Stegostoma tigrinum: one gene and its partners. The protein of the gene in region 2 interacts with the protein of the main gene of each other region in a pairwise test. Links are inferred from orthologs where the notes say so. Each region holds a gene or a part of one and is shown on either strand. Other genes may lie near its edges.

What was found.
Region 1: the proteins of arrestin red cell (region 2) and adrb2a interact in binary tests that used the Homo sapiens proteins (3 or more experiments, as listed by UniProt). The link is inferred for Stegostoma tigrinum from reciprocal best matches to the Homo sapiens genes ARRB2 and ADRB2.
Region 3: the proteins of arrestin red cell (region 2) and mitogen-activated protein kinase 9 interact in binary tests that used the Homo sapiens proteins (3 or more experiments, as listed by UniProt). The two-hybrid records come from large-scale screens. The link is inferred for Stegostoma tigrinum from reciprocal best matches to the Homo sapiens genes ARRB2 and MAPK9.
Region 4: the proteins of arrestin red cell (region 2) and agtr1a interact in a two-hybrid assay, tested with the Homo sapiens proteins (2 studies listed by BioGRID and IntAct, with this or other methods). The link is inferred for Stegostoma tigrinum from reciprocal best matches to the Homo sapiens genes ARRB2 and AGTR1.

The regions. Positions count from the first base shown.
Region 1 is NC_081366.1:51,363,663-51,370,833, reverse strand, and holds adrb2a (adrenoceptor beta 2, surface a), read right to left. Parts: upstream 3,023-7,171; 5' UTR 2,752-3,022; coding exon 1,498-2,751; 3' UTR 180-1,497; downstream 1-179. UniProt on the Homo sapiens protein: Beta-adrenergic receptors mediate the catecholamine-induced activation of adenylate cyclase through the action of G proteins. The beta-2-adrenergic receptor binds epinephrine with an approximately 30-fold greater affinity than it does norepinephrine.
Region 2 is NC_081398.1:5,107,535-5,115,138, reverse strand, and holds the start of arrestin red cell, read left to right. Parts: upstream 1-4,604; 5' UTR 4,605-4,654; coding exon 4,655-4,719; intron 4,720-7,604. UniProt on the Homo sapiens protein: Functions in regulating agonist-mediated G-protein coupled receptor (GPCR) signaling by mediating both receptor desensitization and resensitization processes.
Region 3 is NC_081366.1:37,148,554-37,155,430, reverse strand, and holds the start of mitogen-activated protein kinase 9, read left to right. Parts: upstream 1-3,875; 5' UTR 3,876-4,089; intron 4,090-6,877. UniProt on the Homo sapiens protein: Serine/threonine-protein kinase involved in various processes such as cell proliferation, differentiation, migration, transformation and programmed cell death.
Region 4 is NC_081367.1:68,722,598-68,729,913, reverse strand, and holds the start of agtr1a (type-1 angiotensin II receptor), read left to right. Parts: upstream 1-4,302; 5' UTR 4,303-4,590; intron 4,591-7,316. UniProt on the Homo sapiens protein: Receptor for angiotensin II, a vasoconstricting peptide, which acts as a key regulator of blood pressure and sodium retention by the kidney.

The DNA of each region.
Region 1 (7,171 bases), on a different chromosome or scaffold from region 2:
AGTTTTATTTGTACACGAATAGACAGCCAATATTGATTCTAAATAATAAATATCCAAAATTGTTTCGTTTCTTAATTACCTGAATTCATATGAAAATCCAAAATAACTGTTTTGTTTTGACGTTGTGCGAAAATATATCGACCCAGAAATCAAGTAAACATTGAACTGCCCCATGCCTGTTCAGCGCCGAAATCACGAGCATTTATTGCACATAATCCCACAAAGATCCGCTCCAAGCGTTGGCGTACAGGAAAATTCCAATACCCGGACTCAGGAACTAGACAATGCCACAGAAAGCTCAGGTTAACATTTCAGTAGGATAGCTTTTGACTGACATTGGTACAAGGTAATTATTTACTATTAAAAAAAGTTTTTCTTGTTGTTGTTCGACACTTATTCACGTGAAACCACGCAGTCTCTATCTGCGAAACGTATGGGGGGCGGGGAATGGAAAACGACAAGCCTCACCTTCATTGCAAAGAGAAACGTCCAGAAGAGCTACAGCGATAATGGGAACTGCAGATGCTGGAGAATTCCAAGATAATAAAATGTGAGGCTGGATGAACACAGCAGGCCAAGCAGCATCTCAGGAGCACAAAAGCTGACGTTTCGGGCCTAGACTGAGCTTCAGCACTGTTTGACTCGAAAAAGTGCAACATTGCAAAATACAGTTACGCACTTAAAGGTCACAACGAACACACCACAGTACAAGTACAGACACAAAATGTGAACGCGCCGGCAAATGAGCACACACGTTTGTTTTCTATTTTATGAAAATGCGTGGATGAGGAATGGGAAGGGGTGGGGTGTTTCCTAACTCGAACTGCGCGCACGCAGTTGCAAACCCGTTGGACATCTAACTTTGAGAAATCGGATAGACTGGACCCTTCCTCCTCCTCATATACAGACATCCCACTCATTTCTCTTTGTTGGGAGGAAGTTGGGCGATCTCGCTACTTAGTGACCGCAATGCACATCTCTTTTCTCACTGTCTAACAGCTACTGTACTGACTATTTGACTCCAATGTTTCCAGCAACTGCACTCAACAATCCTTCTTTGAGATCCCTTCTTCAGCCGAATAAATCGCCTGATGTTTTGTGATATAGATCACAATCCCTTCTAAAATGGTGTGCCAGTGAGCATCCAAGGGGGTAAAGAGGGCGCAAAAATGCTTTCAGTAAGGTCGACATGGCCTTTATATAATAGGCGTCATGCGAGTTGTAAACATTTAAACACTCCGTTAATGCTCATGTAGCAACATTCAAGAATTGTCCTTCTGTTTTACTGAGCTGGCTTACATCTCCCGCGGGGCGGGCTGGGGGTTCACACACTTTCACCACAACGTCCTTGCATTGCGTTCACTGAGTTATGAGGTAGGCGAATGCATGAAAAGTACAAGCGGAATCGAGCTGGAACATCTCGTCTTACTCAGTGTCAAGTTCGTGTGCCCCCTGTTGCTGAGTTCCACTAGTTGTGTGGGTGTCGGTTAGCCGCCGCTATATGACCGAATCTAGGAGCCTGTGTTCATTGCCATCGGGCTGGGGGCTGCAGTTCGCAGCTGCGGGCGCCGCTCCTTCGAAGCTGCAGGGCAGACCGTTCGTCAGGCGATCCTCGCTCGGCACGGGGTTGTCATTGGGATAACTGCTGTGGTGGGTGGACGGCAGCGAGCCCCGGCAGCCCCACAGCACCGTCTTGAAGGCATGCCTGAAATCCGAACTGCGGCAGTATATGAGCGGGTTAAAGGCCGAGTTGGAATAGCCCACCCAGTTCAGGAAAATGAACACGGTGTTGGAGATGCTGTCCTTAAAAATGACATTGACGATATTCACCACGAAGAAGGGCAGCCAGCAGAGGGTGAAGACGCCCATTATAATCCCCAGCGTCTTCAGAGCTTTGTGCTCCTTCAGATTGAGAAACCTGGGCGTCCTTTTCTGCCCCTGTTTGGCAGCTTTGCCATTCACAGAAGGGGCAGGCTGGTTCAAGTTGTTGTTGAGATTGTGGAAGCGACCCTGGTACTTGTTGATCTTCTTCAGCTGCTGCCTGGCTTCCTGAAAGACCCGGGTATAGAGGAAGACCATGACGAGCAGGGGCAGGTAGAAGGATACAATGGAAGAGGAGATGGCGAACTCTTTGTTGGTGAGGAACTCGCAACACCTGGGGTCGGTGTAACATTTCTGGGAGTCCGGGTCATCCAGCCTCCACCAGCCCATGTAGATGGGCAGGAAGGAAGTGAGAGCCGCTACCATCCACACTAGGAGCACCACCAGCCGCGCTTTGCACTTGGTCAGCAGCGTTTGGTAGCGGAAAGGCGAGGTAATGGCCAGGTAGCGGTCCAGGGCGATCACACACAGGGTGCCAATACTCGCCGTCACGCACAGAACATCCAGCGAGGTCCAGAAGTCGCACCAGAAGTTTTCAAAGTACCAGACGCCGGTGATACTGCGGACCCCACCGAACGGGACAACGATCAGCCCCATCACCAAGTCTGCACAGGCCAGCGACGTGATGAAATAGTTGGTGACCGTCTGCAGCCGCTGGAAGCGGGCAATTGCCGTGATCACCAGCACATTACCGAACACGATCACCAGCACCATGACCGACATGACGATACTGACAATGATCTTCCAGGCCGGGCTCAGCTCCTTGCGGGTGACCGCGCTCTCGCTCCCCGGAGCTGCGCTGCTGTTCAGCATGTAGGGGCTCAGTGGGAAATAGACACTGCTCTCTGAGCTACTCTCCTGCGAGCCCATTCTCAGCGGCGCTGCACATAATGCCAGCAGCTCTCCCTTCTCCTCACACTCATATCACTCGGTGACTCTACAGCCGGCCACTTAGCCCTCTCTCTCTCTCTCTCTCTCTCTCTCTCGCCCGTTCGTTGCAGAACTCCGCTTTGTGGATTCTGTTTGAGCGCTCCTTCCTTTTCGCTTCTATATAGCGCCCAAGGGGGGCGGAACGTCATAATCTTTCACAACCAATCGCCGTCTACCTGCAGCTTCAAACCTCGAAGCCTGCACCCATCGTTAGCTGCACTATTTACCTCCAAGTATTAGACACAAGTGGCGTGTTCCCCGTCAGTCCGACCACCACTGGGGCTCAGTAACTCAACTTCACAGTATTCAGAAAGGATACAGGATTCGGGGCTATTCATATAAATGGGAGAAGTAGCCATTTGTCAATCACAAAAAAGACATACTTTTATAGTAAATTGCCACTTTTTAAAAAAATTCTAGGCTTGAGAAATTCTCTGCAGAAACCAGCATTCGTGCCAGATTCTCACCATCACAGCGCAAGGAACACAGACGCTGAAGTCTGACTTCCCCCCCCACCCCACCCCCACCCTCCAAAGCTTCTGACAGCGCGTACTCCCAATCTGAAGTTTACTGGGATTCTGCTACTCGAATCGAGACCTCCCGGCTTCAATTTCACCCTCCCCTCGAATGAAGTCGCGCATTGTTTTTTTTTTCTTCTTTTCCTGAAGACGATATTCCTGTTCTGAAATGTGACGGGTAAGCAGTGGAGGTAGGCTCAGTGCAGACTTCCTGACTTCTCTTACGCCGGCTAGGCACACGCGCGCACACACACGGAGCTTCACACACTAACTGTAGTCAACACTCACTTTGCCACTTGAGGCTATACGCTGAACCGGGACCGCTCGGTCATGAATCAAACCTGACCCAAACTCTACATTCCGGTTAGGGACATACACCAGGCTTTATTTCACTGCCCACAGTGATGGGCCAGCAGACTTGCCATCACAAACACAGTGCAAAAAGGTGTGCCTCCCATTTATTTCTGCACATTGGCAGAGTTATCGCCTCCTCCAGACAAAACGGAAGTTTTGCTTTCTTTCTCTGTTGTGCCTGTCCTGAAAGCTTTCAGATATGTTTCCATCTCCACAAGTTCGATGTTCGTTGTGGTAAGCGCATTAGACCATTTTACACTATGTTAACTGCACAAAATAAATGCAAACTGTTGTTGGACACGCATAACTGTAATACTTCGCGAGATTTCTAGAACAGCGCGAATTGTTCTACGTTGCCGACTTATTTTATCTAAATGCTGAATTCTCCAAAACATTTTGATTTCCAGGGAGACAATCGCTCCAATGGTTAAGTGTACGATCTCGCTGGGCTGATGCATTATTTGCATATGTACGTTCAAAGGATGTCAATTGAAACTGTCTCTCTTGGTATCTGATGTTTTATTAAAATATTTACTGTGGCAATATACTTAATAGCATGTTCCCTGGAAAAATATACCCTACTGACATTCCCAAGAAACTACCTCGGTGAATATAATTTTTAAACCAAAATTAGCTACAATTTGAAGTAATGGATTATATCCTAAAGTAAATCAAAATATTGTCGTCAGCTTGGGTTATTATGTAACATTTGCGCCTCTGAGTCAGTTCAGGATCTAATCATCTCAGAAGGTTCCAGCATAATTATGTTGAACGAGGTTAGAAGTTTGGATGACAAGTGTGCTTTCGTGTGACCGTTAAATATCTCCTAACAGTAATGGAAGGATAAGCAGGGAAGTAGTGCCTGGTTACTTAGTAGCAGTTTCATTTTTGTCTCAGTTCATCCACTCAACTGACCCCAAATATCTCTTCTGTATGGAATCCAAATCGTTCTCTATTTTCCACGAGGTGCGTACACTGGTCCATCCGAATGAACAAACGCTTCCGATGTCAGTTCTAACTTTGCTTTTCACTAGTTCTAACCTCTAGTCTCCTGTAATATTTGCAATGTAACTGCATGTTCTGGATTAACCGTTTACATATCGTTTACACAATGTTCCATAACAAATGCAGACATTTCGGGCCTAGACCCTCTGATGAAGGGTCTAGGCCCGAAACGTCAGCTTTTGTGCTCCTGAGATGCTGCTTGGCCTGCTGTGTTCATCCAGCCTCACGCTGTATCATCTTGGATTCTCCAGCATCTGCAGTTCCCATTATCTCAGACATTTAATATCCAGTTAGAGGATTCGAAAAGTAAATACGTTGACACTATGTTAACCTTTTTGTGGCAGAGGTTTAATTGATTCTGTGGGAGATACCAGAGCAATTCGACATTATAATCAATGGGCACCAACCCGGTTATATTTTAGCCCTCCGTCACAATATCCCACTTTGGGTATCAAATATCTGCGGCTGTTGTCAGGAATGGGAATGAGAAAACGCAATCCATTCAGATAGCTTCGGACTAAGTGACCGATGTGTATAGCCCCAACGCCAAGCACCTCCGCTACCCTCGGGGAACAACGTAGAGGATCCAAATGATGTCAAGGCAAAAGAAGCTAATGACGTTCCCGGCTCTGAAGAGGTGACACTCTCAGCGTGACCATCTCTTCATGTCTCCGTTTGAGATATCGCTCGTCGTTGGCAAACAAAGCTTCTCGCAGAGATCGACACCGAAATCGATATTAGGGTCGCCCGGTTAAATCAAAATCCTGAAATGGTACAAGTGGTAAAGTAGGACGCGAGCCTGTACATATCTCTGGAAAAAGTACAATATATTAAAGAGAAGTTGGGCACTTATAAGCGTCAAGGTTGCATTAGGTCAGATGAACACAAGTCATTTTCAACTAACGTCTGCTCAATGACGCTGGAGAATCTACAAGTGCCTCTCGCTTCCCAAGTCTGTTCAGTGGGTTGCTACAATTGAAAGCATTGGGACTGTTACGTTTCTCCATAAATGTAGATGGTTGATTTCAGTTATCACATTTGCTTGTATGCCGAAGGAGATGGTGAATGGGAAATTGAAAATTATTTTTACATTAGCCTTGGTGTAGATTTCATATGATGTTATCCAATACTAACACGAGAAATTGGTACGTAATTTGATCCTAAAGCGGCAGGGCATCTTTTGATGAGAAAACAAACAGAAGGGAATGGTAATGGTAATTAATTAACTCAAAAAACAAACAAAAAAATCCTACGTAAGTAGTGTTTAATGAGGTAACACAAGATGCGGAGAGATCCGAGTTCCGCCAGCAAACAAAAAGTTAATGTGCCTTAAAGCACATTGTAGAACTGCACAGTGCCCCAAATTAATGAATCAAATGGAGGAATTGCTCCGAAATCTCCAGTACAGATTTCTGTAGCCAAACCGGTCTGATCTTTAAAAGGGCTAGAACAGTTCCAGGATATTTATAAATCAATTAATGGCTATTTATACTTCGTTCTAATTATAAAAGGCTGACGTTCGCACCGAAATAAAGTGTCACGCATGTTACGTCTTTTAGAAAACAGGTAGATTAAAATGCTGTCGCTAGCTATTCATTTTGCTTTGCGTGATAAAACGAAACAAGTTTGTATTAAGAAAAAATGTCAGGAAGGCGTCAGGCTTTCCACGCAAATCAGCGTGTTTGAAGTTGATAGTATTTCAAATTAGTATGATGTTTGGCTCTGTAAACAAGGGCATTAGATAGATAAGCAAGGGGAAAAAACAAGTTTACTAGACTAATGCTTGGAATGAGTGGGTTGTTTAACGAGGAAAGTTCGGACAGACTCCAGGAGCTGAGAAGGCTAAAAGTCAAGTAGGTTGAAACGTAAAATCCTGAGGGATCGTGACAGGGTCTGTGTGTAAAGGATGCTTCCTCTTCTGGGATGTTCCGCAACTCAAAAGATAAAGTCTCCGTAATTAGTTATAAAGTTATATGGTATGGAAACACACCCTTTGGTCCAGCTCATCCAGGCTGACCAGATACCCTACATTAATCTAGTTCCAGAGATAATGGGAACTGCAGATGCTGGAGAATCCAAGATAACAAAGTGTGAAGCTGGATTAACACAGCAGGCCAAGCAGCGTCTCCGAGATGCTGCTTGGCCTGCTGTGTTCATCCAGCTTCACACTTTGTTATCTATTAATCTAGTTCCATTTGCCAGAGCTTGGCCGATATCCCTCCAAACCACTCCTATTCATGTACCCATCCAGCTGCCTTTTAAATGTTGTATTTGTACCACCTTCCATCACTTCCTCTGGCAGTGCATTTCACACACACACCACACCACCCTCTGAATGAAAAATTGCCCCATAGTTCCCTTTTATATCTTTCCACTCTTTATATGTTTATAAAATTATTCCCTCTGGTTTTGGACTTCCTTACTCTGGGAAAAAGATCTTGGCTCTATAAGGTTGTGCCTCAGCCTCTGACACTCCACAAAAA
Region 2 (7,604 bases):
CAGTGTGGAAACAGGCCCTTCGGCCCAACAGGTCCACACTGACCCATTAACCTGTAAACCCACCTAATCTACACATCCCTGAACACTTTGGCAGCAACTTATCACGGCCAATCCACCCTATCCTGCACATCTTTGGACTGTGGGAGGAAACCGGAGCACCGGGAGGAAACCCATGCCGTCATGGGGAAGATTGTTCAAACTCCACACGGACAGTTGCATGAGGATGGAATTGAACCCGGATCCCTGGCACTGAGGCAGCAGTGCTAGCCTCTGAGCCACACCTGAGTTGAGGAAACGTAGTTAGCAGGATTTGAACCGGCATGGGGAAGCCCAAATGAATTTCTAATTGATTTGCCTTAACCACTCAGCCATGACTACAGAGGCCTAATGCTGGCAAATGAGACTAGGTTAACTTAGGACATCTTGTAATAAAGATGTACAGCATGGAAATGGGCCCTTCAGTCCAACCTGTCCATGCTGACCAGCTATCTTAAATTAGTCTAGTGGCATTTGCCAGCATTTAGCCCATATCCCTCCTGAGCCCTTCCCATTCATGTACCCCAAACGAGTTGGACTGAAGAGTCTCTTCCCATGTTGTATAAGTCTACCAACTGTATAAATGTGCGTTCTACGGACAGCAAACCCACAACCACTATATTGTGTGCAGGCTAAATTAGACCCTCTAATGGTTTAATTGTCAGTGGTGAGTTTTTATTTGTGTGGCTGGGGGAGGGTGTTAAGTGAATAATAGAATAACAAAGCTTATTTTTTGCATTGCCTCTTATAGTAACCTGGTGATGTGTGTGTTCTTTAAAACATTGTGTTCTCCTGAGCCAAAACGTTCTAGCAGGAGCCAAATGTGTTCCCTGAAGCCGTAGCTAATGCTGAACTGAGGCAGAGATCCTGACCGCAGCGCAGGAGCTGACCAGATGGTCAACACATTGTGGTGTTTAGCATTGAATCATCATGGTTTCTGTTCAGTTTCACTGAAAGATGAGGAAGGCATTGGGTTTAAAGATAACAAGGTGTGAAGCTGGATGAACATAGCAAGCCAAGCAGCATCAGGGGAGTGGGAAAGCTGATGTTTAGGGCCTAGACCCTTAAGGTTTCTGATGAAGGGTCTAGGCCCAAAACGTCAGCTTTCCTGCTCCCCTGATTCTGCTTGGCCTGCTGTGTTCATCCAGCTTCACACCTTGTTATCTCAGACTCTCCAGCGTCTGCAGTTCCCATAATCTCTCAAGGCGTTGGTTTTGCTTGCTTTCATTGGTCAGAGTGTAGGAATCGGGAAGTCTTGTTGCCGCTGTACAAGATGTGGCTGAGGTCATGTTTGGAGTACAGCGGGCAGTTCCGATTGCCCTACCACAGAGAGGATATTTAAACTAGGAAGAGTGTAGAAAAGACGTTACCTGGACTGGAAGGTTTGTGTTATAAGGGGAGGTTGCATATACTGGGACTTTTTGTTTTTTGCCTCTGGAACATAGGACATTGAGGGGTGGCCTTTTCTAGGAGTCTATAAAATCATGAGAGGCACAGATAATGTAGACAGCCAACAGCTTTTTCCAGTGGGAGGGGAGTCTAAAGCTAAAGGACAAAACCTTTTTTAAAGTGAGAAGGGAAGAGATGCCAAAGGTCCAGAAGGGCAATTTTTAACACAGGATCGAGTGTCAGGAGTGGGCTAGAGGTAGTGGCAGAAGTGAGTACAATTTTGTCAATAAAGAAACATTTGGACGGGGCAAGTGTGGAAGTATATGGGCTAAACACAGGCAAATAGGACTAGTTTAAATTGTGAAAACTGGGCAGCATGGACCACTTGGCCGAAGGGCCTGTTTCTATGCTATGAACCTCCTGACTCTCTAACTTTCACCAAGAGCAGCTCCTAATGCCTTTTGGTGGGGAGGCAGCTTCCTTTTAAATTCATTCATTCAGAGATGAAGGTATCTCTGGCTAGGCCAGCATTCATTGCCCATCCCTAGTTGCCCAGAAGGCACCTGAGAGTCAACCACATTGTTCGGGAAAGGTAGGGTATAAAGAGCCGCGGATGCTGGAAACAAAAGCAGAAATTGCTAGAAAAACACAGCAACATCTGTGGAGAGAAGCAGAATGAACGTTGCTGGTCCGGTGACCGTCCTCCATAACATGGAGTCGAGAGTCATGTAAAGTCCAAACCAAGTGACAATGGACCTTTCCTTAAGGACTTGGTGAGGCAGACACTGGATTCATGGTCATTGTTAGACTCTTCCAGACACTCACTTATTTCTTTTGCTGAATTCAAATTCTACTACTTGCCAGGAGGGGATTTGATCCTGGGGCCTCAGAACATTAGCCATGTTTCTGTGTCAATAATCGAGGGATAATGCCACTAGACCATCCCTTCCCCTTGCCTGCAAATTGAACTAATTAATCTGTGACTTGTCAGGGTCACGTGTTCATTTATTCTTTTGGAAATTCTCTTTTTTTTGTCTTCACCTCCCCTCCTACCGTGTTGTAAACCTCCTAACTCTGGTATCAGCCTGTGACTCTCCTGATTCCCAATGCCTCTGGGGAGGCAACCAACAGACCCAGGTGGGGTTTGAGTTCTCTCTCTAAATTGCAAGGAAGAGAGATCTCATCACCCAGAGATTGGGGACCTTGACGAATTCTCGATCACAGAAAGCAGTTGAAGCCAAAGCATTGAATGTGTTGGCGTTGGGTATAGCTCTTGGGCCTAAGGGTAATTAAAAGGTAATAAGCGAGAACAGTGCACAGAGTTGGATTATTAACTGTGATCGTACTGGAATGGCAGGGCTAGGGTCAAAGGGCTGAATGGCCTCCTAGCGGCTGTTTTGGCTTCCTGACTGCTGAGTCAGCAATGTTTACCATGGCAGGGCCTCAATGGTTGGGACTGCGGCCTCGCAGCGCCAGGGACCCAGGCGACTGTCTGGAGTTTGCACATTCTCCCTGCGTCTGCAAGGGGTTTGCTCAGGTTTCCTCCCACCGTCGCATGATGTGCGGGTTAGGGTGGATCGGCCGTATTAAAGTGCCCATAGTGTTCAGGGGTGTGTGGGTTATAGAGGGATGGGTCTGGGTGGGATCTCTGAGGGGCGGTGTGGACTTGTTGGGCCGAAGGGCCTGGTTCCACACTGTAGGGAATCTATGATGCTGTTGCCTCCGGATGTTTTGTGATTTGCTGTTGCCTGAACTGGCCATTGTTTGTCAGTGACCATGGTGGAATTTGCAGGCTATTCAACTACAGAGGCTTCAAGATGAGGCAATTTTCATCAGGGATCATTGGTTAGCATGTAGCAATCCATTCCCACATCTTGTACCATAAACTTCCAACAGCTCTGCTTTATAGTCTGAGCTTTAAAATAAATCTAGGAGAGCGGGCAGCGCTGGTCACCATGTGCATTTGCCATCGGGAGGGTGTTTTTATCCAATGCAACAGTGCTCGTGTTAACATAAACTGAGTGAACATTGGGGTATTGAAGAATCCCACAGAAACTTATTACAATTAAGTATTATGTGTCATCACTGCATTCTTCAGCCATATTAGTATCTGCGCTAACATTAAACTAGTGGGTTACAACAGATAAGCATCGTACTACATAAACATAGAACATTACAGCACAGTACAGGCCCTTCAGCCCTCGATGTTGTGCCGACCTGTCATACCGATCTCAAGCCCATCTAACCTACACTATTCCATGTACGTCCATATGCTCATCCAATGACGACTTAAATGTACCTAAAGTTGGCGAATCTACTACCGTTGCAGGCAAAGCGTTCCATTCCCTTACTACTCCAAGAAAAGAACTAGTAGGGTGTCCTGCTTTAAGTGACCCAAGGTACAATGGAGTCTGACCTCTTTCCACCCTCCTCCTCAGGTGTGATAATTAACTCAAATTTGATGCGGAGGCGCCGGTGTTAGACTGGAACAGATAAAGTCAGAAGTCACACGCCACCAGGTCATAGTCTGGCAGGGAAATCACAAGCTATGGACTAGTGCTCCTTCAGCCTTATCCCTGACAAAGGAGCAGTGCTACGGCAGCTTGTGATTTCAGATAAATACAGTACAGATTGACTGACGGTGAATAACGTTACCGTTTTTCCAGGCTATCCATTTCCTGGCTATCCCTTCTTGAATCCCCTGCTGTCCAAGTGGTTTTATGAAGCTCATTCCTCCTCCTCCAGGATGCTGGTCATAAACCCAACCCCTTTACCTGGGTCAAACACGGACAGCACCACGGTGTTTGGTATCACCAGACTCAACGGTTTCTGCTGGGTTTCGCCAGCGTGTGTGTGTGTGTTTCAGATTTCCAGCATCTGCACCTCCCTGGGTTACAAATGGGCCCCCCTGTGGGACCTTTCGCAGCGCTATACAAATGCACGTTGTCACTGTTGACTGAGGGGAGTGCATGGCCGAGATAAAGCATCAGGCGTGGCATTGGCCGGGAGGATGTCACTTGTATCTCTGAGATCTTGCGCTTTTTCCTGTTAACCAGGCAGATGCTTTCACCTCTGCTTGTCGCACTGTGCAGCGGGGAGTGCTTTTCTTTTGCTTCTGCGGAGGGGTGCAGCGAGGAGGGGGTGAGGCTTCGGGGTGGGGGGGCATTCGGCCTCGGAGCTGGAGGGCTTAACAGTGCAGCGGAAGACGGTGGGGGTTGGCGTCAGGAGCATGGCAGATACTCCAAGCAGGAACCTCGCACGAACCAAAGGGACTATGCAAACGCGACACAGGAAGTATGTTGTTTTTACTTTTTGTGTTTATTGCTCTGCGTTTACAGTCATTGAGCGCCAAATTCTCATAAGCACAGTGGGTAATCTCCCTTTTTAAGACTCCTGTCTCTCCAGGGCCTTCAGTCTGTGCCAGCTCAGCAGGCAGTGGGCTCTTTCAATCCCCTGCCTACCCAGTGGCTGAAATAATGCACTTGATTCAACTTGGGGCAGTCGAAGGATCTAACTGAATTTGCAGCCCAGGAGTGAGGCTGTTTGGGGTCTTTGTGTTGGTGCCATCCTTTTGTAAGAATGACCCAATTCGCCCCGCTTGCCCCATCTGTCTCCTCTTCCCGCGCCCCATGAGTTTCGCTTTCCTCCAGATAATTCTCTGGTTCCCCTTTTTTCCAATCTCTCTCTCTCCCTCTCTCTCTCTCTCTCTCTGTATGTGTGTGTATCTCTCAAAACCACAAGCATATCTGCCTCCACCATGTACTCTCGGGTAGCTCCTTCCAGATCCCACGCAGACGGCTTGTTTTTGTTTTAGAAAGCTGACAAACAATCTTTCCTCCTCCTGGCCTTTCCCTCCAGAGCATTTCTTTTGTAAAGAAAAATGTTCCCCCCTCCCCTTTTTCACTAAGTGGGAGGATTCTCACCTGCTGAAGCTGGGTGCCTGACTGATGTGTTGAAAGCCTCTAACGCATCTCCTTCTCGAACCTCCCTCCCTCCCAAAGAGGGCAACCACCCCCACCACCAGCGAACAGCTTCTCCCAGGAACCGTTCTTGGGCGTCTTCTTTGCGTCCATCCATGAGCATTTTTCCTCCATCACTTCAAGTGTGAGATGTCAATGAGGTTTCTGTTGTCAGGCCCAGGTCTCTCTCTCTCTCTCTCTGAAGCCCAGACAAGCTGGAAGTACCCACCCGAAGGAGGAAAACGAGATGTGCTTGTCACAGCAGTTGTTGTTGTTTGGTCTTTGTGTTCCTCCCATTCTGGGCCCAAGGACGCTCCTCGCCTTCTGGAAAATCCCAGTTTCTGGGAATTCCCTCCTGAATCCTCTCTTGAGAACCTAAGAATTCAGAACAGGTTGTGTGACCCATCGAGCTTTCTTTGCCATTCAATAAGATCATGGCTAATCTTTTCACAGACTGATACACACTTACCCTTCCACACACCGTAGCCCTTGATTCCTATAGTCACTTTCCCTACCTCTCTCCCAAGCGCACCCCCCCCCCGCCACCGCAACTTTTCCTGCACAACGCCCCATAAAGGCTCCTTCTCTGGGCCTCGGAACAAAGGGACGATCCTTTTAGAGCTGAGACAAGGGAGGAATTTCTTCAACCAGAGAGTGGTGAATCAGTAGAACGCTTTGCTGCAGAGACCGAACCAGTGAGTGCCTTTGAGACAGAGGTCCTTGACAGGGCAAGGGATCAAGGATTGCTGGGAGAAGGAGGTTAGAGAAATATGTCAACCATGATTGAATGTCAGAGCAGATGTGATGGGCTGAATGGCCTGTTTCTGCTCCTGTATCTTAGGGTCATACAACCTTCTAAGACCCCTTACACCATGGCTCTCATTTGAGAACAGTCCTATGAAATGACTTGTCGTTTTCTGCTCAATGAAATATACTTCATGTACAAACAAGGAGCATGAAGAGGCCATTTACCCCCTCAAGCCTGCTCCTGCTATTTGAGATCACAGCTGATCAGATTATAAACCTCAAACTCCCCCATCCACCTACCCCAGTAACATTTGCCCCCTTGCTTAACAAGATTCTAGCTATCTCTGCGTTATTTTTGCAAAATAAAATAAATGAAAGATTCTGCTTTCATTGCCATTTCAGAGAGACAGCCCCAGATTTTATTTTGAAATAAGTTTTTATGGGATGTGGGTTTTTCTGGCAGGCCCATATTTGTTGCCTGACTCTAGTTTTTCCCCCTTGAGAAAGTGGGATTGAGCTGCCGCCTTGAACCGCTCCAGTCCATGTGCTGTGGGCTGACCCACGATGCCATTTTGGGAGGGAATCCAGGATTTTGATCCAGCAACACTAGAGAAATGGCTGATTATGTTTCCAAGTCAAGATGGTGAGTGGCTTGAAGGGCAACTTGAAGCTGGTGATGGTCCCATGTATCTGCTGCCCTTGTCCTGAGAGATAATAGTGGTTGTGGGTTCGGAAGGAGCTATCTGAGGATCATTGGTGAGTTGTTGAAGTGTACCATGTCGACTGTACACACTGCTGCGACTGAGCATTGGTGGTGGAGGGAGTGGACGTGGCTCCAGTCAAGTGGGGACTGCTTTGTCCTGAATGGGTTTGAGTTTCTATGTTGGAGCTGCCCCCCGCCCCACGGTCCAGGCAAGTGGGGAGTATTCCCTCGCACTGCAGACCTGTGCCTTGTCATTGACACCAGCTCTCCAGAGATATAGAGAGAGAGAGAAATTGGCCTCTTCTGGTTTTTAAATTTCTGACCCTTGATCTGTAAACAACAATGCCTGTCTCCCTCAATCTTCCTGTGAGGGGTAGCACCTACCCCAACATCTAGCATGTTGAGACCACCCTGATCTTGCACTCGTGTGCAAATCTTTGCTTTCGTGAGGCATAACTGTGGATGTTGTTCTAAACAGAAGAAACACTGCTCAGAAACACCAAGTCCGTGTGCTTACCTCTATGTATGTTGTCTTTACCACTGGACCACTCCAAAAGAAGTGTCCCCTATCCCTGAGCCAGAAGGTTCAAGCCCCACCTACTGCAGAAGTATGTCCAATTTGATTTGTCATTGTTGCAAACACCAAAATAAAGTGTAAAAATAGAATAGAATGCACATTTTTAGTGTTGCAGCTACAGAGAAAGATCAAATCTAATATGAGAGGTCCATTCAAAAGTCTGGTAACAGGGAAGAAGCTGTTCTCAAATCTG
Region 3 (6,877 bases), on a different chromosome or scaffold from region 2:
GCTGTAATGTAATTTTTTTTTCATTTCTCTGTACTGGAACTAAGCTTTGTACTTAGGGACTCTGCACCTAAGATGGTGCTGTAAGTGGCAACTTATAAATTTTTCACTGTACTAATTTGAGTACATGACAATAAATTTCATTCAATTTAACATGCATGTTTGATCCTGTAAAGTCTGAGTATCTCTGTTTTAAATGAGAAGCCATAATTTTTAAATCAAGTGCATATTCAGTTTATGATTCATGCATTATAACACTGAAATCCCTCTGCAAGAAACAACTTCGCAGCCTTCATTTAAACAATATACTGTTTTGCTACTTTTCCTGTCAAAGTGGATGAGTTCACATTTTCCCAGTTTATAATTATCTGTCATATCATGGTCCATTCACTTAACCTATCTATATCCCTTTCCAAATTGACTCCTTATGTCCATTTTGCATGTTGCAATTCTACCTCTCTTTGTGTCATTAGCAAATGTAGCAAACGTACATTGGTCCCTTCATCCAAGTCATTAATATAGATTGTGAATAGTTCGTAGAGGCAACGGCAGCAAGATTTTCAGAGATAGATGGCAAGACACTTTCAAGAATCACCAAAAAATGACCCATACATGAAACTAGGGAATGCCTGACTAAATTGGAGGAGTGAATGAAATTGACAACGTTGCAGTGGGGCACCTATTCCCCATGAACAGCTCAGCAAACCATTTTCAATTCCTTTTACAAACGGTAGCTTTATCATCTGTCCTGGAAAACTAGGCAGGCATTAACTGAGAATGCAGACCGTAACATATGCAAGGCCCAACTCTTACCTTTCTGCATTCTTAAAGACCTATGCCATGAAACCCAGATGTTCAACTCACAAGTGTAAACCTCATGTCAGACAATAATTTGACAATATAGTGTCCAGGTTCCCTTGACCCGTAATACATGTGCTATTAATCAACATAGTCTACATTCTGGACAGTGAACATAACAGGGTCTACAGTAGCTAGCTTACCAGTGTGCAATCATTTTAATATCTAAGCACAGTCATTACCCATAAACTGACCCAGTCTGAACATTGCAACAAACAGGGTTTATACACTGAGAGAATATGAACACAGTGATTCAGAAACTGCTTTTAGACAGTAACAAAGAAAGTCCTGATTGCAGTCTAATGACTGGGAATTTCTTCTGGGATGCCAGTTTGTAATAGCCTGCACTCAGAAACCTGAGGGGTAGCTCCTAACCGGTCATGTTGATCATGACATGATTAAGCAACAAGACTCCTTCCAACTGTTTGACTTACTATTATCACCATGGACCAAGATACCTTCAGATCAAGTCATGGTGGGGACAGAACATTGTCCTCCTGACTGCCACTCAGAGTATTGGACAGAAGCTTCAACCCATGTTGATTGCCGCATTAGCCCATCAGTGTTAGCATTGTCTGTAGACTTTAAGGGCCCCAGCAGAAGTGATATTTGAAAATGGTCCTCAATTCATTGAAAACCATGCATGTATGACAGCTAACAACCATGTCACATTATTGCCCTGATATCCTCATTCTAACTAAAGCAATATGTTTGATAATACTTACAATTTCTTATTAATATAAAGAAACTGACAGTTGGGCATCGTCTAAGGAATCATTTAATATTTTTGTTGTGACATTCAAAGAGTGTTCTTGTGAATCCTCCAATGATCAACTGTGCTTTGTTCTCTGAAGAACACATTTAAAAAGGGATATTTCATTTCTATACCGTGAAAGATAATGTTGGAGTGCCAGGGGATTTGAAATGATTATTAGAAGTTTAAAAAAAAAGATGTGATTCTGAAAAATTCAGCAGAGCATAAGTTGGAAAAATCACTTGGTTTTGACATGGGTTTGAATTTACTGAAGCATGTCGGGGAGGAAAGCAGAGGTTCAATAATGCTTAGCCAAACCTCATCATTCAAGAAAATTATATCATCAGACTGAAAGTATAACATCACTGTCGAAAAGAAAGGCAGACAAGTCAAGTAAATTATAGACTGGCATGGTAAACTTACAGGATTTAGGATTCAAGAGAAAATATTTTAAAATTTAGAAGTTAATCCATATCTAATTAGCACAAATTTGTTGAAATCAAACTATGCTTTACAAACTGGGGGAGGTTTTTCTTAGAATTTAAGATTTTGAAGATTCTTCTGCAACCTCCACATGGTCTGCATGATATCGAGTGGAATTAGCTTTATTGTTACGTGCACTCTAATGAGTTAGTGAAAAGTTTACAAGTCGCCACTTATGGTGCCATCTTTGGTACAAGATCCCTGGGTACAGATTCTTCAGTACAACTTCTTCAGGAAAAAAAAAGAAAAATGAAGAAATTAAAAAGTCCAGCACTACAGATTGTAGGAATAAATCAGAAAATCAAGACTAGTCCTTCCCAACCTCTAGTCTGTGCCAGGCCTTGACTCCAGATTGCACTGGGCTTCATCTTGAGGCTCTCGATGCCTGGAATCCTCAGTAGATATGCAGATCAGGAGTAGCTATTTTATCTAATAAAATGTGAGGCTGGATGAACACAGCAGGCCAAGCAGCGTCTCAGGAGCACAAAAGCTGACATTTCGGGCCTAGACCCTTCATCAGAGTGGGGGATGGGGTGAGGGTTCTGGAATAAATAGGGAGAGAGGGGGAGGCATCTGCAGTTCCCATTATCTCTAGCTATTTTATCTAATGGCTTAATTAATAACATATTTAGAACTGGCAAATCAGCCTTGCTTATAGTAATGACTTTGAATGTCATCAAGTACTGTGATGCTATAACAGCACCAGAATAGCAAGGGCAGAGAATGGTTCAGCGATCATAAAAGTTTATCAGAAAATGAGGAATATAGATATATTTAATGGTAGTTGTCTTTTCCCTGCAAACGGGGAATATCAAGACTATGGGGCACATTTTTGAGGTGAGACGAGAGAAGTTTAAAAGAAGACATGAGGGGCAATTTTTTTTAGAGGGTGGTTCATGTGTGGAATGAACGTCTTGACGGTGTGGAGGATGTGGGTACAATTACGATGTTCAAAAGGCATTTGGATAAGTGCATGAATAGGAAAGGTTTGGAGGGAAATAGGTCTGAAGCAGGCCAGCAGGATTACTAATGTTTGGGAGTACGTTCAGCATGGACCGGAGGATCTGTTTCTGTGCTGTATGACTGTGATCTGCTGATGCCAAAGGCATTGAGGCTATTCATAATCTGTTCTTGAGTATGTTTGCCATCGTTTCTTTGGTGACAAGAAGGATTCAAAGGGGTCATTAGCCACAAGACGTATTTCTGTCAAACCTAGATCAATGGCTAGTGACCACTTGTATGGAAGAAAATTTTTGAAAGGAAACAGCAAGAATAATAGATGAATAAAGACTTAAAACTGGGATGATAATTCCCTAGGTGAGAACTGTGGAAGCATCAGCAAAGGGAACACCAAGTCTTCATGGTGGGGGGCGGGGTGGGAAGAGAATGCTTACAAAAATAAACCCACAGTAAGAAATCTGACACAGGAGCATATCTGGAGGTCAGTGTGGGAGCGCCAATATATGAACCAACTCTGGATCCACCTTGCATATTTATACATTTAAGTCTTCTCCCGAATCATTCTGTTTATTTTCTCATGATATTAAGGAATTATTTTACGTGAAAGCCCAGTTCCAAAATCAAGAGTCTTTCGCTAATTCCGACATTCCGGGGAATGAGACTCTGCAGAGCAGTCCATCACGACACCTATCTGCCCGCCTCCATCAGGCGGTGATTGGTAACTATGATTCCGTCTTCGTGATTCTGGTGGTTAGGACCGCTGTCAATCACTTTACCCCCCCCCCCTCCAGGGACGAAGAGGGGTGTGGGCTCGCGGGCGGCCGGTAGTGGGAACGCGCTGACGTTGTTGAATGTTTAGCTTTGCTCGAGCAACCATGGCAGCCGTTCGGTGACAGCTCGGCGGCTCCTCTCTGACCGTCACTCTCTATTGCCGTTAACTGCTAGCCTGATCCCCCGCTACCCACGGGAGGATTTCCCCACCTCCCCCGGTTTGTTTGTAATTCACTTTGGAACTTTGCTACGGCGGTTGTGTTGAGGTAGGTGCTGACTTGCCAGGCCGCCCTGCACGCAGCCTTGACTAAGGCCTTTATCAGAGATTCCCGAGCGACTGGAGCTGCCGCAAGGCCTCGAGTTGGGATTCGCTGAGTATTCAGCGGCCCGGCCCGACCCGACCTGGCGCGGTTCGGCTATTCCGGGCCAGACGGCAGGAAGACGAATCACCACACCCCACAGACCCACAACCAACCAACCCTATTACGGTCCGTTTTCTCCCTCACCAAACCTGTCCCACGACGCTTCCATCACCCCTTCCCAACCTCTCCAATTATCTTGCCCAACCTCAACACCCACCACGGTCTCTTTCCTCACCCCCCCCCCCCCCCCAGATCCCGCTCTCCTGACCCACCCCGGTTCCCGCTCTCTTTCCTCACCCCTGCCTCCCCCCGAGGCTCCCGTTCTCTTTCCTCACCCCTGACTCCCCCCGAGGCTCTCGCTGTTTCTGCACCCCCTGGACGAACCCCCCCCCCCCGGGTCCCGCTCTGTTCCCCCCCGACCCCCACGCCCCCAGGCTCCCGCTCTGTTTCCCCACCCCCGCAAGCTCCTGCACTCCTTCCCCCCCCCCCCCCGTTTCTCCACCCCCTGGACGAACCCCCCGGCTCCCGCTCTGTTTCCCCACCCCCTGGACCCCCGCAAGCTCCTGCACTTCAACCGCCACCCCCTGACTTCCTCCCCCCCCCCCCCACCCCCTGTTTCTCCACCCCCCGGACGAACCCCCCCCCCCCCCGGTCCCGCTCTTTTCACCCCCGACCCCCGCAAGCTCCTGCACCCCCCCCCCGACCTCCTTCCTCCACCCCCACCCCCTGTTTCTCCACCCCCACCCCCTGTTTCTCCACCCCCTGGACGACCCCCCCCGGGTCCCGCTCTGTTCCCCCCAACCCCCCACCCCCTGGACCCCCGTAAGCTCCTGCACTTCCCCCCCCCCCACCCCCTGACTTCCCCCCCCCGACTTCCCCCCCCACCCCCTGACTTCCCCCCCCCCACCCCCCCCACCCCCTGACTTCCCCCCCCCACCCCCCCCCAGACTTCCCCCCCCCACCCCCCCCCACCCCCTGACTTCCCCCCCCCACCCCCTGACTTCCCCCCCCACCCCCTGACTTCCCCCCCCCACCCCCTGACTTCCCCCCCCCACCCCCTGACTTCCCCCCCCCCACCCCCTGACTTCCCCCCCCCACCCCCTGACTTCCCCCCCCCACCCCCTGACTTTCCCCCCCCACCCCCTGACTTTCCCCCCCCACCCCCTGACTTCCCCCCCACCCCCTGACTCCCCCCCCCACCCCCTGACTCCCCCCCCCACCCCCTGACTTCCCCCCCCCACCCCCTGACTTCCCCCCCCCACCCCCTGACTTCCCCCCCCACCCCCTGACTTCCCCCCCCCACCCCCTGACTCTCCCCCCCCCACCCCCTGACTCTCCCCCCCCCACCCCCTGACTCTCCCCCCCCCACCCCCTGACTTCCCCTCCCCCCCCGACTTCCTTCCTCCCCCCCCCGACTTCCTTCCTCCCCCCCCCGACTTCCTTCCTCCCCCCCCGACTTCCTTCCTCCCCACCCTCCGACTCCTCCCCCCCCCCCCCCCCACCCTCCGACTTCCCCCCCCACCCTCCGACTCCTGGTCTGTTTCTCCACTGCCTGGACGAACACCCCCCCCGCTCTGTTTTCAGACCCCCACCCCCTGGACCCCTGCAAGCTTCTAATCTTCCCCCATCCCTTGGACTCCTCTCTTTCCCCACCCCCTGGACCCCCTGCCCTTTTTCCCCACCCCCGGACCCCCTGCCCAGGCTCCTGCTCTCTTTCCCCACCCCCTGGACCCCCCACGCTCCAGTTCTCTTGTCTCTTCCGCCCGCCGGCCGGCTCCCATTGTCTTTCCACACTCCCTGACACCCCCAGTTTACGCTGTCTTTTCCCTACCCCTTGACCGTTCCCAGCTCCCACCCTCTGACCCCGCCATCTCTCTCTGTCTTCACTACTCTGCTGACTTCCCCACTGCCTGCTCTGTTTTGCCCCCACCACACCCACCTGAGCTCCTGCTGTTTTGCCATTCCTGCCACCACATCCCCCAGAGCTCCCACTCCTGCCCCCAAGCTCCCGGTCTCTGGTGCTTTCTCCCACCCCGTTCACTGCTGTCCACATCTCCAACATTCTTTCTCTCTCTCTCTCCTTCCCCGCCCCCAGTTACACATGGTGGACTGTTAGAACAGTTGAGTGACTGTTGAAATGAGCAAGTTTCTGTTAAAGATTTTAGGCAAATTAATGTTAAAATGTGAAAAGGATGATGTGGTTGTGATTAGTTAGATGGAATGCAGAGAATGTTATTAAAAGCAGAGAGTTGGAGAATAATGAATAATATAAACAGGGGAACTGGGTAATTTCCAACTTCACGGCATAGTGGGAAGTGCTAATTGTTTACCTTGTAGGTGAAAATTCATTTTTGTATTTGATTATTTCAAAATTCTGTTGCATTAGATGGAGAGTGCAATTCAGTTCTGTTAAAAGTAGAACTGCTGTTAAACGCATCTTTTAAATTGCCATCAAATTGGGGTGGCATGGTGACTCAGTGATTAGCACGGCAGCCTCGCAGCACCAGGGACCCGGGTTCAATTCCAGCCTCAGACGACTGACTGTGGAGTTTGCGCATTCTCCCCGTGTCTGAGTGGGTTTCTTCCAGGTGCTCCGGTTTCCTCCAACAGTCCAAAGATGTGCAAGCTAGGTGGATTGGCCATGCTAAATTGCCCGTAGTGTTTAGGAGTGTGTGGGTTACAGAGGGGATAG
Region 4 (7,316 bases), on a different chromosome or scaffold from region 2:
TACAGGGGCTGGAGCAACATGGACTCTGGTGAGATTTCAGGCAGAATCTAGCGAGGCCTATCTCAAACTGAGGAACAAATTGCTGTATCCTTTACGCTAATGCTGAATGGTGAGGTGATTTGTGGTAAGTTGCTAATTAACACAATTCTAGCTTCTTAAACACCTCATTAATAGCAAAACTTGCCTCACTAACAGTCAACTTCTTATCAAACGGGCAAACATCGCGTTTTCGCAGAAGTACAAGCGAATGCCCAACAATTTCAGTTCACTGTTGGCTGTGAGGAGCCTCCATGATGCTCAGAACCAAACAGCATCTCACAGGGATAATGGGAACTGCAGATGCTGGAGAATCCAAGATAACAAAGTGTGGAGCTGGATGAACACGGCAGGCCAAGCAGCATCTCAGGAGTACAAAAGCTGACGTTTCGGGCCTATGCCCTTCATCAGAAAAGCTTTTCTGATGAAGGGTCTAGGCCCGAAACATCAACTTTTGTACTCTGAGATGCCGCTTGGCCTGCTGTGTTCATCCAGCTCCACACTTTGTTATCTTAGCATCTCACAGGGCACAACCTGGAGACACTGGATGAATGTATCCAAATCAAATGTACGTAATACAGGTCAGAAGTCTAATGTCAGGCGCCCCCACACCCATCCAGACCTTTTCTGCCCTCTTTTTGGGCACAGGGTGTGAGAGCAGGTGAGAGAGGATGTTACATGTGATCATGGGAGTAACAGAGCTTGAGCCTTGCAGTGGCAGAGACACAGTGAGTGTGAGGTAGCAGAGCAAAGAGTGTGTGAGTTATGTTGGTGGAGCAGAGAAGGTCATTGACCTCCATGCAGATCTTCTGGCCACTCCCCGCCACAGATACGACATTGACTGGGACAGTCACCTTGGATCCAGCTTCCAGGGTCCATTATCGTGGCCTCTTCTGCTGGTCCTTCAGGAGAGGGACAGCCCTCCTCTGCATCATCCCTTATATTAGGTCCTCCAGGTCCCTGTTGGAGCTGGGGAGTCATGAATGAATTACAGAGATTTACAGCAGGGAAACAGACCCTTTGGTCCAACTCATCCAGGCCGACCAGATATCCTAAATTAATCTAGTCCCATTTGCCAGCTTTTGGCCCACATCCTTCTAAACCCTTCCTATTCATGAGCCCATCCAGATGCCTTTTAAATGCTATAATTGTACCAGCCTCCACCATTTCCTCTGGCAGCTCATTCTATACACACACCGACCTCTGTGTGACAAAGTTGCCCCTCAGGTCCTTTTTACACAAGTTTGCCCTCACTTTAAACCCCATGTCAGTACTGAACATTGAGCAATCATCAGTGAACATCCTTATGATGGAGGGAAGATCATTGATGAAGCAGCTGAAGATGGTTGGGCTGAGCTGAAGAGCTCCTGTAGAGATGTCCTGGAGCTGAGATGACTGACCTCCAACAACCACGACCATCTTCCTTTGTGCCTGGTATGACACCAAACAGCAGAGAGTTTGCTCCCAATACTCATTGATTCCAATTTTGCTACAAAATAATGCAGATGCACACTGATAATAAGAAAAGTATAATAAACAATAAAGGTCCAATAATATTTTCTGCATTAGTTGGCTGAATTTCCCAGGAGATTCACCAGAGCAAATAGCACAGCTGTCTCTTGACAGCTGAAAGATTTTTTTTAAAAAAGCATCTGCAACTTTATTCTTCTTAGCAAGACACCTCTGAGCAGTTGCCAGGAGCTAAGCAAACGACTGGACTGGGACAGTGGGGTGGATGAGAGAGTAGGTGATAGTAAAACTTTGGTCAAAATTAAAAGATGTTTAACACATTTTGTTCTACAGAGAGAGGTGACAATTCTAAGGTTCGGGACCCGCAGGTTCCCTGAAGTCAGAGATATTCATAGAGTCCTTAAAACAGAAAGAGGCCGTTCAGCCCATTGTGTGAGGACCGACCCCCTGAAGAGCATCCAACCTACACCAAGCCCCTATCCCTGAGACTCTTTATCTATTATAACTAACCCACACATCTCTACAGGGAAATCTAGCACAGAAAAACCCATCTCACCTGCACACCTTTGGACTGTGGGAGGAAACTGGAGCATCCAAAGGAATCCCACACAGACACGAGGGGAACATGCAAACTCCACACAGACAGTTACCCGAGAGCGGAATTGAACCCAGGTCCCTGGTGCCATGAGGCAGCAGTGCTAACCACCGAGCCAACATTCCACTCACAAGGATGGCGCTCATTTTTATCTGATTTCCAGCATCTGGATCTCTTTCCGTTTCTCATTTTAATCTTGCCACCCATGTATAAACTGTGGATGATCGTAATAGAACATTTATTTCTGTCAGTTTTATTAGTGAAAGCAAGTGAATGGTGTGTGGAAAGCTTTTTAATCGTTGCCCCTTTTTGTTCACCTGATGAAGGAGCAGTGCTTTGAAAGCTGGGGATATCAAATAAACCCATTGGACTATAGCCTGGTGTGGCGTGACTCCTGACTCTGATGATCTCAGTCCAACATTAGCAGCTCCACTTCTTGGACAAGCAATGTATTTTACTCACCAGCATTCACACCCCAAACCCATCCCTGAGCTGCCTCCACAAGGACAAGTATTTTCTCTACAGCTGTCTTACAAAATCCTTGCACCACCTTAAACAGCTCCGGCAGGTCACCTCTGTTTGCTAGCATGTAACAGGGTGAAGTATGTCGGCACCAGGGAAACTCAGCACTGACAACACCTCGAAGGCAATTAGGGATGTGCAATAAATGCTGAAATTGCCAGCAACCCAGTGAACGCACGAAATAAATGTACAGTGGCAAAAGGTGAAGCCAAAAGCCAAATGGAAAATAAAAAGACATTGCAAAAACAACATGTCTTGACCGCGTCTCCCGCATTTCCCGCGACACATCCCTCACACCCCGCCCCCGCCACAACCGCCCCAAGAGGATCCCCCTCGTTCTCACACACCACCCTACCAACCTCCGGATACAACGCATTATCCTCCGACACTTCCGCCATTTACAATCCGACCCCACCACCCAAGACATTTTTCCATCCCCACCCCTGTCTGCTTTCCGGAGAGACCACTCTCTCCGTGACTCCCTTGTTCGCTCCACACTGCCCTCCAACCCCACCACACCCGGCACCTTCCCCTGCAACCGCAGGAAATGCTACACTTGTCCCCACACCTCCTCCCTCACCCCCATCCCAGGCCCCAAGATGACATTCCACATCAAGCAGAGGTTCACCTGCACATCTGCCAATGTGGTATACTGCATCCACTGTACCCGGTGCGGCTTCCTCTACATTGGGGAAACCAAGCGGAGGCTTGGGGACCGCTTTGCAGAACACCTCCGCTCAGTTCGCAAAAAACAACTGCACCTCCCAGTCGCAAACCATTTCCACTCCCCCTCCCATTCTCTTGATGTCATGTCCATCATGGGCCTCCTGCACTGCCACAATGATGCCACCCGAAGGTTGCAGGAACAGCAACTCATATTCCGCCTGGGAACCCTGCAGCCATATGGCATCAATGTGGACTTCACCAGTTTCAAAATCTCCCCTTCCCCCACTGCATCCCTCAACCAGCCCAGTTCGTCCCCTCCCCCCACTGCACCACACAACCAGCCCAGCTCTTCCCCCCCACCCACTGCATCCCAAAACCAGTCCAACCTGTCTCTGCCTCCCTAACCGGTTCTTCCTCTCACCCATCCCTTCCTCCCACCCCAAGCCGCACCCCCCGCTACCTACTAACCTCATCCCACCTCCTTGGCCTGTCCGTCTTCCCTGGACTGACCTATCCCCTCCCTACCTCCCCACCTATACTCTCTCCACCTATCTTCTTTACTCTCCATCTTCGGTCCGCCTCCCCCTCTCTCCCTATTTATTCCAGTTCCCTCCCCCCATCCCCCTCTCTGATGAAGGGTCTAGGCCCGAAACGTCAGCTTTTGTGCTCCTGAGATGCTGCTGGGCCTGCTGTGTTCATCCAGCCTCACATTTTATTATCTTGGAATCTCCAGCATCTGCAGTTCCCATTATCTCTGATGTCATTGACAGCATTTATATCTGATAACTTGCACAAAGTTATTAAGTGGTATGCATGTCATAACTGTGTGGATACTGCGTAACAGAGCTGGTGACTACAGGGTTAAAAGTGGATATTTCTTGAGTGCCTGCGACCCTACTTTGTGATCATTTCCGTTACTTTCAGAACTTAATTAATGACGCAAAGGATGATTACAATGAAGCCAGCAATAAGATTTATAGCACAGCTCACTGGAGACCAGTGTTGCACAGTCACTGAAGTGCAGCAGTCTGCAATCAACAGCTCTCAGGAAATTGCACTGTAAATGGCTCAGTGTTTCTGAGTGACAGAGTCAATCAACTCTTGCAAATTGGAAAGGGGGAAGCTCATCACCATCTGTGTTTGGCACTGTCCTCGGCTCCCCGTGGGTGTCAGGGTGAGCATAAAAGAATATCTGCTGTCACTTTTTCTGCAGTTCAGTTGTGGCATGTGTTCACCCCGCTCAGTGGACATCTTCAGATCGCAAACAGGCTGAGACCGAAAGCTCACACATCAGTCTCCAGGTAGGAAAAGCATTATAGCTCTCCTCAAGTCTCTGACGCTGTATTTGTCCCCTTCTTTCCCGTTGCACTTGTAGAATAGTAGCCAGATTGTCTCCGGCATTTCCAGTCCTTGCCCTGGCCACGGAAATGTTTAATCTTGCAATCCTTTTGATTTTTACTACAAAGTTGTGCTCTCACCATGATAACACTGTGGCTTTGTAGTGCTCTCTTTTTTTATAATTATTGAGAGCTCTTTGTTAACGTGTCTCCTTTCCATGGCAAGTTTTATTGACGGGCACAAAAGGAGGGAATTACTCTCATCGTTGTCTCAACCCATTTTGAATTTGTTACAGGTGTCTTCTCAACAAAGGTTTCAGCCAATATCGGGATGAAGAAGCAATTTTTTTGCCTAAGTTTACAGCCAAATATTTGCATTAAGGGTTGCGCTTATTTCTTGCTGGTGATACTGTGATCATGAACTGGGTCTTGGATTAGGTGGAAGAGGTGAGACTTCCTAGAATCCCTACAGTGTGAAAGCAGGCCATTCAGTCATTCAAGTCCACACTGATCCTCTGGACAACATCCTACCCAGACCCAAACCTTCGCCCACCCCCCCCCCCCCCCCACCCCACCAACAAGCCTGCCTGTGCAACCCTGCATTTCCCATGGCTGACGCACCCAGCCTACACATCCGTGGATATTACAGGGCAATTTAGTACAGCCAATCCACCTATGACTGTTACCTCCATCCATAGAAGGCAGTATCATCTTGGCCAGCTGATGATTTCTAAGGCACAAAGATCAATGCGTGAAACTAACATTGACAAAGTGAGAATTCAGATTTCTGTAAAAAGTCAACTGTAAGACACCTATAAAACCACATGCTCAATTTTTCCACCCAATCTAATCAATGGGCACAGGATCACATTGGTTGGATTGTGAGTACACAATGCCACTTGGTCAATTTTCCGTCATGCCCTTCAGGCAAACTTTACAGTAAAAAACACAAAGAGAGACTAAACCTCTAATCTTTAAACGGCTGGTACCCCTGGTGGGAAATGCTTACTGTGATTGTGTTTCCTTTTTAAATGAATGTCATTTTATAATCTGTCATTTGTGTGCCAAAAATATGAAGTGCAGTGAGAAGATGATTGCTAAACATATTTTAATAAGCATAGTTCTCCCTTTAAACTCACTGTTGATAGTCAGTAAGGCTGGCTACTGCTTTATTCTTACAATATTATACTGCTTTAATCTAACAATATTACCCTTGATTGTCGATTAATTGAAATCTTAAAAGTACTTGATACATTAAAAAGTGGACTTGCATTTGTACAGTGCCTTTCACAATTTCAGGATGTCACAAAACCCTTTATAGCCAGCTATGTACTTTCAAACCTGGCCCTATTCTAACCCAGGAAACACAGGGACCAATTTGTACACAGTAAGATCCCACAGGAAGCAATGAGAATATAAACGGATACAAAAACTAATAGCAACTCACAACATGTTGTCCTCTACATTGGGCAGATTGGGCAACCACTTTGCAGAACACCTATGTTCTATCTGCAAAAATGACCCTGAGCTTCCAGTTTCCTGCTGCATCAACACACCACCCTGTTCTCTGGCCAACATCTCTGTTTCAGGCTTGCTGCACTGCCCCAGTGAAGCTCAGCACAAGCTGGAAGATCAGTAACTCATTTTCCACTTGAGAACCCTGCAGCCTTCAGTTCTCAATATCGAGATCAATAATTTCAGAAGATGAACATCTTCTATGTTCTTTACCCAGCCCCACAATCCAGGCCCTGCCATGAAATCAAGATAACAAAGTGTGGAGCTGGATGAACACAGCAGGCCAAGCAGCATCTCAGGAGCACAAAAGCTGACATTTCTGGCCTAGACCCTTCATCATCTTGGATTCTCCAGCATCTGCAGTTCCCATTATCCCTGCCATGAAATGGACTGCTCTTAGCAGAGCCAATCCATTTTCACAAACTCATTGCCTGCACTATCAGCTCTTCTCCTTCCCTGACACGCTGTCAATTGCCTCTTTGGCTCCCTCACTTTCTTTCTCTATCTCTGGGCTCGATCTCCACCTATCTACTCACTCCTTCACTCCCTCCATCACAATACCTCTGACCCCCTGTCATCAGCATGAACGCCACATTTCCTGAGCTATTATTAGTCCTGAAGAAAGGGTCACTTGATTCAAAAGGTTAACTCTGTTTTCTCCCCATGGATGCTGCAAGATCCGCTGAGTCTCTCCGACAACTTCTATTTTTGTTTCCAATCTTCAGCATCCACACTTCTTTGTTTTATTTAGTGATAACCGGATGCTCTGTCGTATTTTAGTGATGTGGGCTGACGTATAAGTATTTGCCCTCATTATTAGTGAATTCCTCCACACTTCTTTTAAATAGTACCATTAGATCTTTTACACCAAATGGAGAGATCAGTTGGGTCTCAGTTTAATGTGCTATCTTAAAGGAGGCATTGGGACAGTGCAGCACTCCTTTGGTACTACACTGAGTGTCAGTCTGGACTTTACGCTAAAGTCCCAGGAAAAGAACTTGAACTTAAAAACATTCAGAGATAAGAGTGCTATCACTGAACCACATCTGACATTTGAATCCTAGATTATTACTGAAGGAAATGAATTTGTAGAAGTGAAGATTAGTAATTTTTTAAATTCATTCATGGGATCAGGGTGTCAATAGCCAGGCAGCATTTATTGCCCATCCCTAATT